3 linked regions of the Canis lupus familiaris genome follow. The protein of the gene in region 1 interacts with the protein of each later gene in a pairwise test. Links are inferred from orthologs where the notes say so. Each region holds a gene or a part of one and is shown in the gene's direction. Other genes may lie near its edges. The genes, in order: FHL3, SLC25A46 and TTLL10.

What was found.
Region 2: the proteins of FHL3 (region 1) and SLC25A46 interact in binary tests that used the Homo sapiens proteins (3 or more experiments, as listed by UniProt). The two-hybrid records come from large-scale screens. The link is inferred for Canis lupus familiaris from reciprocal best matches to the Homo sapiens genes FHL3 and SLC25A46.
Region 3: the proteins of FHL3 (region 1) and TTLL10 interact in binary tests that used the Homo sapiens proteins (3 or more experiments, as listed by UniProt). The two-hybrid records come from large-scale screens. The link is inferred for Canis lupus familiaris from reciprocal best matches to the Homo sapiens genes FHL3 and TTLL10.

Annotation. Positions count from the first base shown.
Region 1 is NC_049236.1:4,653,283-4,657,407, forward strand, and holds the start of FHL3 (four and a half LIM domains protein 3), read left to right. Parts: upstream 1-1,510; 5' UTR 1,511-1,597; intron 1,598-4,125. UniProt on the Homo sapiens protein: Recruited by SOX15 to FOXK1 promoters where it acts as a transcriptional coactivator of FOXK1.
Region 2 is NC_049224.1:1,725,336-1,729,460, reverse strand, and holds the start of SLC25A46 (solute carrier family 25 member 46), read left to right. Parts: upstream 1-1,483; 5' UTR 1,484-1,555; coding exon 1,556-1,835; intron 1,836-4,125. UniProt on the Homo sapiens protein: Transmembrane protein of the mitochondrial outer membrane that controls mitochondrial organization.
Region 3 is NC_049226.1:56,846,459-56,850,483, forward strand, and holds part of TTLL10 (inactive polyglycylase TTLL10), read left to right. Parts: exon of another isoform or gene 1-50; intron 51-2,864; coding exon 2,865-3,014; intron 3,015-3,111; exon of another isoform or gene 3,112-3,144; coding exon of another isoform or gene 3,145-3,314; intron 3,315-3,494; coding exon 3,495-3,560; intron 3,561-4,025. UniProt on the Homo sapiens protein: Inactive polyglycylase.

The DNA of each region.
Region 1 (4,125 bases):
GGGTGGGGAGGAGTTGAAACTGAAGCAGCGTCTGTCATTCATTCATTCGTTCAATATTTATTATATGGCAGACATAGGAGTAGGTACTGGGAATGTGGTAGTGAACAAGAAGAACCCAGTCCTGCCCTCATGGCCTCATGACAATCTAGGCATTAGGAACAATAACCAAGCAAATAGTTTAATTTGGGGAGGAAACCTGGCCTCGACGGTGACTTGGGATCCGGGAAGACAGGAATATGATTTAGAGATGGGAGAGGAAGGTATTCAGGAGGCCTGGCCTGGGAGCAAATGAGTCTCTGTTCTGAGAGCTTGGCTAGACCCAGCCTGGGGGATGGGAGAAGCCCTGTGGCACCTGAGTCTCTACTCTAGATGCTGAGGTTATTTCTAGAGTCAGTTTGTTGTCTCCTGTTTTGCAAACAGTACAGCACAGCCTCCTCCTCCCTTCCCCACCCTTCTAGATCGAGGCTATTTATGCCTAGTGACAAGCCTGAGGATCCCAGGGGGATTGGCCCAAGGACCTGGAGGGGCCTTGTGTCCCTGGCAGGCAGCAGTCCTCCCTCCTGGGGCGCAGGGAGAAAGCCAGAGGATTGGAAACTGTAGAGGTGGGGGAGGAAGGGTTCCCTCCACTTCCCTCCACCAACCCTGCGGTGCCCCATCCGCGCACACTCTTCACACCCCTCCCTGAGAAACCCAAAAACCATGGGGCCAAGGATTAGGGTCTCCCCTGGGCCTCAAAGGTCATAACTATTCCTGGGCACTGTGGAAACCCAAGGCCGAACTTCTCTGTCCCAGGGTGCCTCCGGAGGTGAGGAGGTGGGGGGTACTTCTGTTTTTGCCACTCAAAAGTTGTGAAATCATTGAAGGTCAAGGCCCAGTCTGGGGTCAGGCGGAGGCGGAGGTGGGGGGGTCCCTTCTTCACTCCCTGTTTCCAGAGAACACCTTGGTTCCCATTGATAGGGAGGGCCGTGACAGCAGAGTCAAGCCACCTCACACACACACACTCCCGGGCCTCCAGGCTTGATTAAGGCCCCTTTACAAGCTGGGTCTAGGTGTGACCCTGAGGGGATGAGCTGGAAGGTGGGAGTGGGGGCGCACGAAGAGGCCATGAGTGAGGACCCCAGGGGACTTGGGTGGGCTGGGTGCCGGCCCCCGTGCTGGAGATCGAGTGCAGCAGGCCGTCTCCAGCGGGCTGCTGGGGGGTGCAGGGGGTGCAGCAGGGGAGGGGACGGCGGAGGCGAGCAGGGGACGGGGGCGGGGTCCCGGCGCCGGGGAAGGTCGGGCGAGCCAGGTTAGACCCGCGGGCCCGAGGGGGGGTGTGGGCGGGGTCTGGCCCCCGGCCTGGGGGTGCGGGGCGGGGGCGGCCGGGGGCGGGGTCCGGGCGGGGCGGGCCCGGCGCGCACTTCCTCGGGGAGGGGTTGGGGCCGCGCTCCACTCGCCCGCTGGGTCCGTGCGCTCCGGCAGCGCCGCCGGCCGCCCGCTCGCCCCGCTCGCCCCGCTCGCCCCGCCCGCCCCGCCCGGCCCCGCTCGCCCGGCCCGCAGGTACGAGCCACCGAGGGACGCGCGGCCCGGCCTCCCCGCTCCCGCCGCCCGCTCCGAGGTGAGCTCCCGCCCAGGCCGGCTCCTCGCCCGGGGCCCCCCGACGCCCCGGGGGGCGCGCTTGGAGCGGGGGGCGCCGAGCCCCGGAGGGCGCCCCCCCACCCCCGGGACCGCCCCGATCCCGGCCGCCCGGCGGGGTGGGGGGGGCTGCTCGACACCTGGGGATGGGGGGGGAAGGGGCCAAGTTTGAAACGGAGAAGCCAGAGTCGAGCGCGGGACCTGGAGGGTTGGGGAAACTGAGGCTCCCTGAAAGCCGGGCGGAGCCAGACCAAGACGCGGGCCCGCGCGGCAGGCTTGGACAGGGGGCTGCACGGGGACCCGAGTCAGGGAGTCAGGGACAGGTTCTGGGGGCGTAGAGTCCCCGAGAGGGAGACCGGAGGCGTCTGGACGGACCTAGGTTTTGTGGGTTGGAGCACTCGAAGGAGAAGCGTCCCCTGACCCCGGTGAACACGGAGCAGCGCCCTTCCCAGGGCTTTGCAGGGTCCCGGGCGGTGAGGGGCCCCGAAGCCTAAGCTTCCTTAGCCCTGTGGCAGATCAGCCTCTGTGAGGCCTATGGAGCCGTCCAGAAACTGCAGACAGGGACGCTCAGGAACAGAGGTGCTCCGAGGAGGAAGCGAAGGGGTCGGGGTGGGAACCCCTTGGAGGCACTCAGTTACGGAGATTTGGGTGTACAGAGGTAGAAATGAGCAGAGGTCACTAGCCCGGGACACAGGTCCCCAAAACACGAAGACAGCTGAGGTGTGCAGAGGCTCAGTCGCGCTGCGTGGGGCGCAGCTGGCTTTGCTCGAGGCGCCCTGACAGCTTCCCAGACAGACCCCGAGACACGGAGGCCTGAGAAAGACTGGGAAGCAGGGGTGCGGGGAAACAGAGACTCTGGGCCAGCCAGAGCCCCGTGAGGCAAGGACCTGAGACAGGCACGTCGGAAAGGAGCCCCAGGCACACACCAAGACAGCCCCAACTTATTTTTAAACTCAAATCATGGACATGCTGCTTCAGCCCTGGGGGACCCGGGGTGAATGAACTGTTCCTCTCCTGTCCCCAAGGCAGCTGCTGGATCCCGCTTCCCGCCCTCCTTCCCCTAAACTGCTCTGACTCCCAGGCCCCATGGCGGGGAGGGGTGGGGAGAGGGAGAGTTTGGGGTTGGTGCCTGATACCGGAGGTTGGGGGCTGGGGGGGGTTAGGTTTCTCCCCTTAAATCTCCTGTCAGTTCCTGGGAGCTGGGAGGAGGGGTCTGATCTGATCCTGACTCACAGCTGTGAGGCCTGGCCAGGGTCCTCCCCGACAGTGCAGGGTGGATGGGGGCAAAGGAGTTGAACGGTTGGCATGGGCAGTTGGAAAGGCTTCTGGGTGCCTTCCAATGGCAGGGTTAGCAGCTGGGGGAGAAGAGTGAGACTCCTGTGCTAGTGATGTCACCGAGTATCTCCCACACCCCTGCTCTTAAAATGTTGACCACCCCGTTTTGCCACCGCTGCAGCATTTTTAGAGAGAAAAACAGGAAAGGGCTCCAGGCTGGGAAGCAGGGAACCTGGGCTCTCCGAGGCCTGAGTGACCTTGGGCCTGGCTTGTCCCTGTGCTCGACTGTAAGATGGGAATGACATGCTCTTCTGCCTGCCTTTTGGGAGATCTGGTGAAATAGTGGATGGGATTTCTCTTTATGGGAGGCCAAGCAGCATGCAGGTGTGTACACCTGTGTACCTGTGTGAGGGGTCTCAGGAGTTATGCTCATTGGCACCAGGCCGGCCCCACTGATCTCCTCAGGCAGCCCCACGGCCTGGGCTTCTTCACTTCCCCTAGTGGAACTGGGGAGTGGGGGTGGGGGTCCCTCTTTGGTCTATCCCTGAATCTACCCTGAGAATGTCCAGGTCAAAACCCAGGCCAGCTCCCTGAGCCAGGCCTGGCTCAGAAATTTGTCTGACCCCCGTATGAGTGAGGGGCTGATCATAAAAACGCCCACAGCTACCATTCACTGAGGAGTCCCTTTCTGCCAGGTGCTTTCCAAGCACCACCATTTCAGCCTGACGACAACCCCGGGAGAAGGGGGTAGGCGTAGAGGAAAACAGGCCCAGGAACCTTAAGTGACTTGCCCAAGATCACCCAGCTAGTAAGGGAAGAAGTCAGGATGCCCACCCCAAGCCACATTTGGGCCTACTATACACTGTGCCACAGCCATTTATCTAGCCATTCTAACCTCTGGGAGGCTCACTGGAAGGTGCCAGATGTGTGTGTCAGGTGTAGGGGTGGTGTGTGTGTGAGTGTGTGTTTGTGTGTGTGTTGAGGACAAGAGTTGAGAGCCATTTGGCAGACTGAGCAGTCTCCTCCGTAACCCCCCCTCCCCAGGCCATGAGGGAATATAAGACTGGTTCTCTTCAGTTCTCTTGCTGTGCCAGGGAAAGTGGGAGGGAGGGGAGGAAGGGGGATGGGCAGGGACAGGTGGGTCTCCATAGTGCCCTTCACTCTGTCCTCATTAGAGCCCAGCTGGACAAACTAGGGGACTGGGGGATTCTGGGAAAGAAACAGAAGCCATGCCCA
Region 2 (4,125 bases), on another chromosome or scaffold:
TCTACTACTGTATCCTTTCTTCATTGATATGGGATGTGAAATTGTGAAATGTTATTTTTATTAGAAGTGCGCGCGCACACACACACACAGCTGCCTTTTCCTCCTTCTCCTTTTAAAAGTTTTGGACCTGGGCCTGTGGCATCTTTAATTCAATCGTTTGTAAGGAACAGAGATATACTTTGCCTCACCAGGGGGCACAACTGGTTAGAAGTTAGTCGCCCAGTAGATCGGTCTGGGCTCCTGCGCTCCTGGGCAGCCCTAGGGCCTCGCCCAAGAGCCAGGCCGCCTAGCAGCCCAGGCGGTGGAGGCACCACCTGCAGGAAAGGGTGGCGTCGGGGTAGTGGGGGGCTCCGCTCACAGGGCCTCCCAGTTGTCCCCCGCGAGCCTCAATTTTCAACAGGATCATTGGGCTTTACATACACGGACTGATTTAGATGCACCCGGAAAAAAAGAAAGAAACCCGTTTGCAACTGTATTGTGGCCTTCGGGAAGCAACATGCTCGACTCCCCCCGTCCGGCGAGCAGTTTGTGCCGGGAGAGCCGACGGGGAAGGGGTTCCCTCCACCTAGGCCTCGACGGCCCCCCTACGGGCAGGACGCGGGGCGGGGCTGCACCGAGGCCAACAGCCCGCAACGCTAACGCCTGCGCGCTCCTGCACGCCCCCTGCAAGCTCCCAGCGAGCCAGCTGCGCACCCCCTGGGCGCTCCCTGAGCTCCCAGCGAACTCCCCGCCCGCCCCCTGCACGCCCCCTGAGAGCTCCATGCACGCCCCTCGCGCGCCCCCTGCACGCCCCCTGCGAACTCCCCGCGCGCCCCCCGCACGCCCCCTGCGCGCTCCCTGAGAGCCCCCTGCGCGCTCCCTGCACGCCCCCTGAGAGCTCCCTGCACGCCCCTCGCGCGCCCCCCGCACGCCCCCTGCGCGCTCCCTGAGAGCTCCCTGCACGCCCCTCGCGCGCCCCCTGCGCGTCCCCTGCACGCCCCCTGCGAACTCCCCGCGCGCCCCCTGCGGCCCTGCGCGCTCCCTGCGCGCTCCCTGCACGCCCCCTGCGAACTCCCTGCGCGCCCCGAGAGCTACCCGCGCACCTCCTGCGCCCTCCCCGCGCGCCCCCTGCACATTCCGAGAGCTCCGAGAGCTCCCTGCGCGCTCCCCCGCGCGACCCCTGCGCGCTCCCCGTGTGGGCCTCGGCGGCCGGGCCGGCCCGGAGTCAGCGGCACCGGCGCGTCCCGTGCCTCCGCGGACCGTGCGCAGCCAGCTTCCAGGCGGCCCGGGCCTCCGGCAGCTCGTCGGCACCCGCCCCCCAGGCCCGCGGCCCCTCCGCCGCCCCCCGCGAGCAGCCCCGGCCTGGCGGCTCCGCCCTAAGCTGCCGCCGCGTCTCCCTGGCAACCCCGTCCCGCGAGCGCCGGAAGACGCTGCGGTCACGTGGCCGGCGCACTTCCGGGTGGGCGCCGTGACTTCCGGTTGTCAGATTTCCCCGGACGCGGCGGCGGCGCGGTGTGGCCCGAGGTCGCGGCGGCCCCAGCGGCGGCTCGGGGGGGCGTCACCCTGCCGGCTCGCGATGCACCCGCGGCGCCCGGATGGCTTCGACGGCTTGGGCTACCGGGGCGGGGCCCGGGACGAGCAGGCTGTGGGCGGCGCCTTCCCCGCGCGGCCCTTCGGCTCGGCGTCCGACCCGACCCACTGGGTGACCAGCCCCCCGGACATCCCCGGGAGCCGCAACCTGCACTGGGCCGACCGGAGCCCGCCCTACGGCGCGCCCGGGCCCTCCACGCCGCTCGACGGCCCCGAACAGCCGTGTCCCGGAGGCGGCGGCGGCGGGGCGCCAGGGCGGAGCAGCGGTGAGGGCCGCGGGGGGCGGGGGAGGGAGGGGGAGGGGAGGGGAGGGGAAGCAGCGGTGAGGGCCGCGGGGGGGTGGGGAGGGGGCTGGGGGGAGCCCGGCTCGCAGCCTGCACACCGCGCGGGGCGCCGACGGTCGGTCCCGCCTCCCACGCCCTCTGCCCCCGTCCGTCCGTCCGTCCCCTCCTGTGTCCCCTCCTGTCCCCGCCCATTCCCTCTCGTCCCCTCCCCCTCCAGTTCGCCCTCATCCCCTCCGGTCCCTTCGCCCCGTCCCCTCCCGTCCCCTGTCCCCCCTCCTGTCCCCCATTCCCCTCCATCCCCCCGTCCCTCTCCAGTCCCCTTTCCCGACCCTCCCCTTTCTCCCTCCGTTCTCTCCCAGTCCCCTCTCCGTCCCTTCCCCCATCCCGTTCCCTGTCCCCCCATCCCCTCCCGTCCCTCCCCCCGTCCCTATTCCATCTCCTGACACCCCTCCCGTCCCCCTCCATCCCCTCCTCCCGTCTCCTATCCCACCCCCTCTTCACCTCTCCCGACCCTTCCCTTTCCCCCTCTGTCCCCTCCCAGTCCCCCCTGTTCTCCGTCCCTTCCCCCATCCTGTTCCCTGTCCCCACCTCCCGTCCCTCCCCCTTCCCCCCTCCCATTCTCTGTCCCCCCTCCTCCGCCCCCCGTCCCCTGCCATCCCCTCTCCCATCCTCCTCCATCCCCTCCCCCGTCCCCTGTCCCACCCCTCATCCCTCTCCCGTTCCCTCTCCCGACCCTCCCCTTTCCCCCTCCGTCCCCTTCCCCCGTGCTTTCTCCCCTCCCGTTCCCTGTTCTCTCCTCCGTCTCTCATCCCCTCCTGTTCCCCCTCCCATCTCCTGTCGCCCCCGGTCCCCCTCCTCCGCCTCCTCCCCTGCCCCGTCCCCCTCCATCGCCCCCCCCCGTCCGTCCCTCTCCCACCCACCCCCCAGTCGGTCTCCCGACCCTCCCTTTTCCCCCTCCGCCCCCTTCTCGTCCCCCTCCCATCCCGTTCCCTGTCCCCTCTCCCTCTCTCATCCCCTCGCGTTCCCCCTCCTGTCCTTCCCCCGTCTCCCCTCCCATCTCCTGTGCCCCCTCCCCCTCCTCCACCCCTGCGTCCCTCTGTCCCCCCTCCCGTCTACCCTCCTCCGCCCCCCCTCCGTCCGCCGCTCCGTCGTCCCTTCCCTGCAGCGCCGCTTCCTCCCCGCCCCACCCACAGCCCTCTCCTCCCGGGTGCTGTCAGGGAGGCTGGTGGTGGGAGGTCCCCGGGCCTCCATCCGGAGGGAGGAGATCGGGCTACTACCTGCTGCTTCCTGGGGAACGTGAGCGATACCTGGTTCCCTGCGCTCCCTGCCTTGACCTGCTGCCGAGCTCTGCATCTGTGCATCTGTGCTGGAGAGTCAGCCTCGGCAGCCCTGCTGCGAGCCCGGCTCTGCCTCCCTGGGAAGCGGAGGCCTTTTCTTGGCGTCTGGAGCCCTTAAGGTGGAGAGAAGAGTCATTCACAGCGCCAGGTGCTCATGAGCTGTGGTGGAGGCTTAGTAAGCCGGACCTACCCGGTTCCTTCCTTTTCTCTTAGTCTTAGCAATTGTATCTGTTTCCTAGACTCTCACACGCCCCCTCCGTGTTCCCATCCCCTGCTTTCCTATTTCTCACCTAGAAACACCACCAAAGAGTAAACAATTTCAAGACTTTGGAATCAAGGCGTAGTTATTCGCCCTGGGACGTCAGGAAGCCTGGGTTTTCATTGCAACGCTGTCGTCTAAACACTCTCAACTTTTTAAAATTCATAAAATGGGAATAATCACTGCCTCTTCCCATTTTGAAGTCATTAGACTCGACCATTCAATATTAAGTATATTCTCGACATGTTCGTTCTTCATTTTAACTTGGAAGTACAGTGATTTTTATTTGATTTGAGTCAACTGGGAGGCGTAGACTTTAAATATCACATAGGAGCAAACGAGGATGTGGAAGAGGATGCGTAACTTAGTGTCAGACACTTTGCTTTTCCACCCTGTCTGCTTTTCTTTCTGTAAGGTTCCAAAAGGAGTCCTGGAAGGTTATTAAATAATTCAAAATGCTCGTGCACACAGTTACTTTCTTAGGCAGCAAAGCTGATTTTTATCTTTTTATGATTTACACGGTTAAAATGAGGCATTTTCTGTTAATACTATGATCTGTATACTCAAAAAGGGAAAAGCTGAAAGGAGGAAAGCATGTTAATTGACAGAAGAAGCTTCTATCTGGCCTGTGCATTTTCCAAAGCAAGAGTTAACAAAATAGTTTCCCCAGACACCT
Region 3 (4,025 bases), on another chromosome or scaffold:
ATCTGGGTTCTGGTGTCTAATACTGTCTGGTAATGCCGTTCATCCATGGCCTGACCACCGCCGAGGAGGAGCCCCTGCGGGGACACCAGGGGGAGGACGAGGCCTGTGGGCCCGCTCGTGGCTGAGCCAGGCGGTGCACACCTGCCCAGGCCCGGGGCCCCTGTGTCCCCTGCAGGGCACAGGTCAGGCAGGGTCCTCCCCAGCCGCTGTGACCCAGGCCATGACCCAGACCAGGGAGCCCTTCCCAGGCTTTGGCCTTTCTGTCATAGCCATGACGGATTCTCTGCATAATAAAGGGTGTGAGGTATGGAGGTGGCTGGCTTCTCTTCCTCTCAGGTGTGTGGGTGAGTGGGGCTGCAGGGTCCAGCGGCCCCACCCTGAGGGTCTGCCAGCAGGTGAGGCAGACACCGTACTGTGCTGTCGGCACTGCCCTGAAGCCAGAAACCAGCCCAGGGGCCATAGTCAGTCACTCTCCTGGAGCCCCGCCTAGAGCCCTCTCCAGGGAAGTGACCTCACCCCTCACCCCTCTACACACCTGAGCCCGGCAGAGCGGGGCCTGAGGACGACAAGACCAAAGCAGCCCCAGATCTTCAAACTTCCAACCCAGGGCAAGGCAGGGCATGCAGAGCCAGCAGCGCACCCATGCTCTGCCCCTCGCCCCAGGCAGCACCAGGACACTGCAGACTGCTGGCGCAGAGACCCCCTGGATAAGACCCTACCCCTCTGCCTAGAGCAAGAAGCTCGGGGAAAGGGTGAGATGGGTAGTGGAGGGGGTGCAGGCCACCTTTGCTTCTTCTACAGCCTTAGCCCAGGGCCCCACCCGGTCCCCACAGGCCCATCTCCAGAGCTTAGGGAGCACCCTCCGGGTGCCAGACCATCACCATGGGGGTCGAAGGGCAGGCAGCCCTTAATCTTGGGCTCCCACCCTGAAGCCCCCTCCCTGCTCCCCTCTCCTCTACCCACTAGGTACTCATGCACATGTCCCCTGTCTAAAGTAATCCTCAAACCAAACTTCTGGATGCTAATCCATCCTCAGCCTCAGGGCTGACCCCTAAAGCCCCTTCCTTCCCTTAAGAATTCTAATTAGGTCCTAGGGTCTACGTCTGGCCCAAGTGCTCAGCAGCCAGAGTCGAGGAGGAGGGGACCTCTGGGGACTCTGGGGAAGCTCCTCCCCACCTTCTCTCCTTCCATTACCAAATCTCTCCTGAGAACCTTTTGCAGATTCGCACAATCCTGCATACTGTGGGGAAGAGGAACATGCCTGAGAAGGAGGGGCAATGGTGATGAGGCTGGGAGGCAGGGCCTGTCAACTAGGAGGGCTGCCTGGGCAGTCAAGAAGGTGGTGCTTGGGTGGGGGAGTGGGGTTACAGTGGCCCAGGAAGGCCTCTAGGAGCAGATGTCCAAGAGGGCCATGCAGACACCTGCAGGAGCCAAGCAGAAGTACCAGAGGCCAGGGGCTGCACGCCATCAGACAGGAGGACTTCCAGGCCCAGTGTCCAGGTGGCACAGCCTGGTCCCAGCAAAGTCACCAACTACACAACCAGGCAGGAAGTGGCTGGGCCGTTCCCCTGCACCCCCAGCCCTGCAGGAAGGGCTCGGCCCCCAGCCTGGAGGCCCTGGGCTGCCCACTTGCCCCATGGCAAGTTAATGATTCCCCTGCTTCGCTCCAGGGTGCAGATGCGCAGTGACGTGCCCAGCCCCAGGCCATTATCATCATGAGAAAGGCTGGGGCGGCGCCCACACCATCCAGTTGGACAGGTTATGAGGCAGGGTTTTGGAGTTCAAGATCTTGTGTCGGCAAAGGCTGGGGACCCAGGGTGGTGGGCTGGCCCAGCCTGGGTGCCTCCAAGGGGCCTGGGCCCCCAGAGTTGATATGGGGAGGGAGCACAGATTCTGGAGGGGGTTCTGTGCTCAGGCCACCAAGAAGACCAGGGGCCCCACTCCCCATACCCACCGCTGCCCCAGCAGGCCCAGGCTGGGGGCTTGGCTGGATGAGCTCTCTGACATCCAGGCTGATGCACGGCCACCTCAGGGCAGAGTCAGAGACCATAGTCCAGCAGGACGGACCCCTGGAGCCCCCAGCACTGGCACAAACAGGCAAGGAGCCTGGGGGTGCATCAGCCTCTGTGTGGAGTCAGAGAGGCCTCGCCATTGTGGGGGTCATCCACAGGACCTCAAAAGGAGCAGTTTAAGGGATATGTTTGTCTCCTGGGGCCATGTGACCAATAACCACAGACGGGGGGCTTGAAATCACAGAAATGTATTCTCTCACAGTCCAGGAGGCACAAGTCAGAGATGCAGGTGGGGGCGGGGGGCACTCTCTCCCATCTCTAGGGGACACCCCCTCCTGCCCTTCCAGCCTCCCTGGGCTGTGGCCACACCAGCCCCTGCTCCCGTCTTCACGTGGTTTCTCCCGGGTCTCCTCTCTCTTTCTCCCTCTTGTGAGGATGCAGGGCCTCCAGCTAATCCAGGAGGATCTCCCTTCAAGATCCTTGACCACATCAGCAAATACCCTTTTTCCAAGTAAGGTCACATCTGCAGGTTCTGGGGCTTCAGACATGGGCTCATTTGGGGGCCACCCTCCAGCCCCACAAGTTAGGGTACCATAGGCAGACACAGCCTTGAGACCCACAGGACACTCTGAGGGTAATGAGGCTGTGTGACCGGAGGGCTGACACTACACAGGAGAGGCTGTAGTGACAGGAGATGAAAGAGCACAGGGTCAGGTCCTGGGGTCCTACCATGGATTTGGGGGTCTTCGGAAGGCTGCGGGGTGCTCCTGTGGAGGACCCAAGGCCCAGGTGGGGACCATGCACACCATGGCTCTGGCTCTGGCCAAGCCCCATCCTCCCTCCCTCCCACAGCCCCCTGCCCAGCTCCCCTCAGAGCCTGGCCTCCTGTGCCTGCCCTGCTCCCCTCACCTCTGGGCCACAGGGTTGCTGTTGCCCAGAGACTGTTGCCAGGCCACCACTGTTGTTCCCCCGGCAGAGGACTCACACCACTTTGCTGGGCAGGTAAGAGGGAGAGGTGGGCCAGCGGCGCGAGTCCTTGCTGGGCGTGAGGGCCGTGGCCACCGTCCTGTGCACCCTCTCCACCGGAGACCCCGTGGGTTCTCTCAGGACTCTGCCCAGGAGCAGAAGGGAGATGAAGGAGGGTCAGGAGAGGGGAGTCCTGACTGAGATGAGCCCCCTCTGGGGGCGACCCACACCCCCAGAGCTGCTGCATGAGGATCACGAGCCCTCGGGCCAGGCCGAGAGGAGTGCACCTTCTGGGGGTGGTGGCTCCTCAGGACGAGCCCCCTTGCCCAGAACTAGGTCTGTCTTCCCGGACCAGCCCCACACAGGCCGCCCTCCCAGAGAGTCCACCCCCAGCCAGGAGGCCCCAACCCACCCAACAGTGTCAGCACCTCCCAGCACCTATGACGGCACTCGTGTGTCTGAGGAGAAGACGCAGGCAGGACCCTGACATCTCCTTTGCTTGGACATGTTCTGCAGGTTCACCGGGGTCTTCCTTTCATCACACCAGGGTGCTGCTTCCTGCCGGTCTTTTTACCTCACCAGGTAAAAAGTTTATTTCAAAATTTACTGTAGAGTCGAGCTGTCCCCTGCCCCCGGCAGTGCGGTCCCTGCTTCCACAGCCCTGTCTTGTCTGGTGGCCATCCTTCACCCGTGGGATCAACGCATGCCCTCAACGTCTCTGACCACAAAGCTTTGTCTCTGTATTTAGAATTATGTCCAGAGAAACCCTGAAAAGTGCAAGCGCTAAGGCAGAAGGCTCACGGAGCCGGGAGGTCTGACACCCGCACCACATGCCCACCTGTCACTCCACCAGCCTTGTGCAGACACCACAATGCACCGCCTGCGTGCCCACCCACAGTCCCTTTTTCTGCCCTTAATCTCTGTTAACTTCAATGACAAGAAACAATAACTCATGGCTTACTTCTCTGTGAAAGTAATAAACCTAGGTTTTCCCACTAGCAGCAGAGCACTCCTATGAAGGCTTTCGTAAGCTGAGATGGCGCAAAG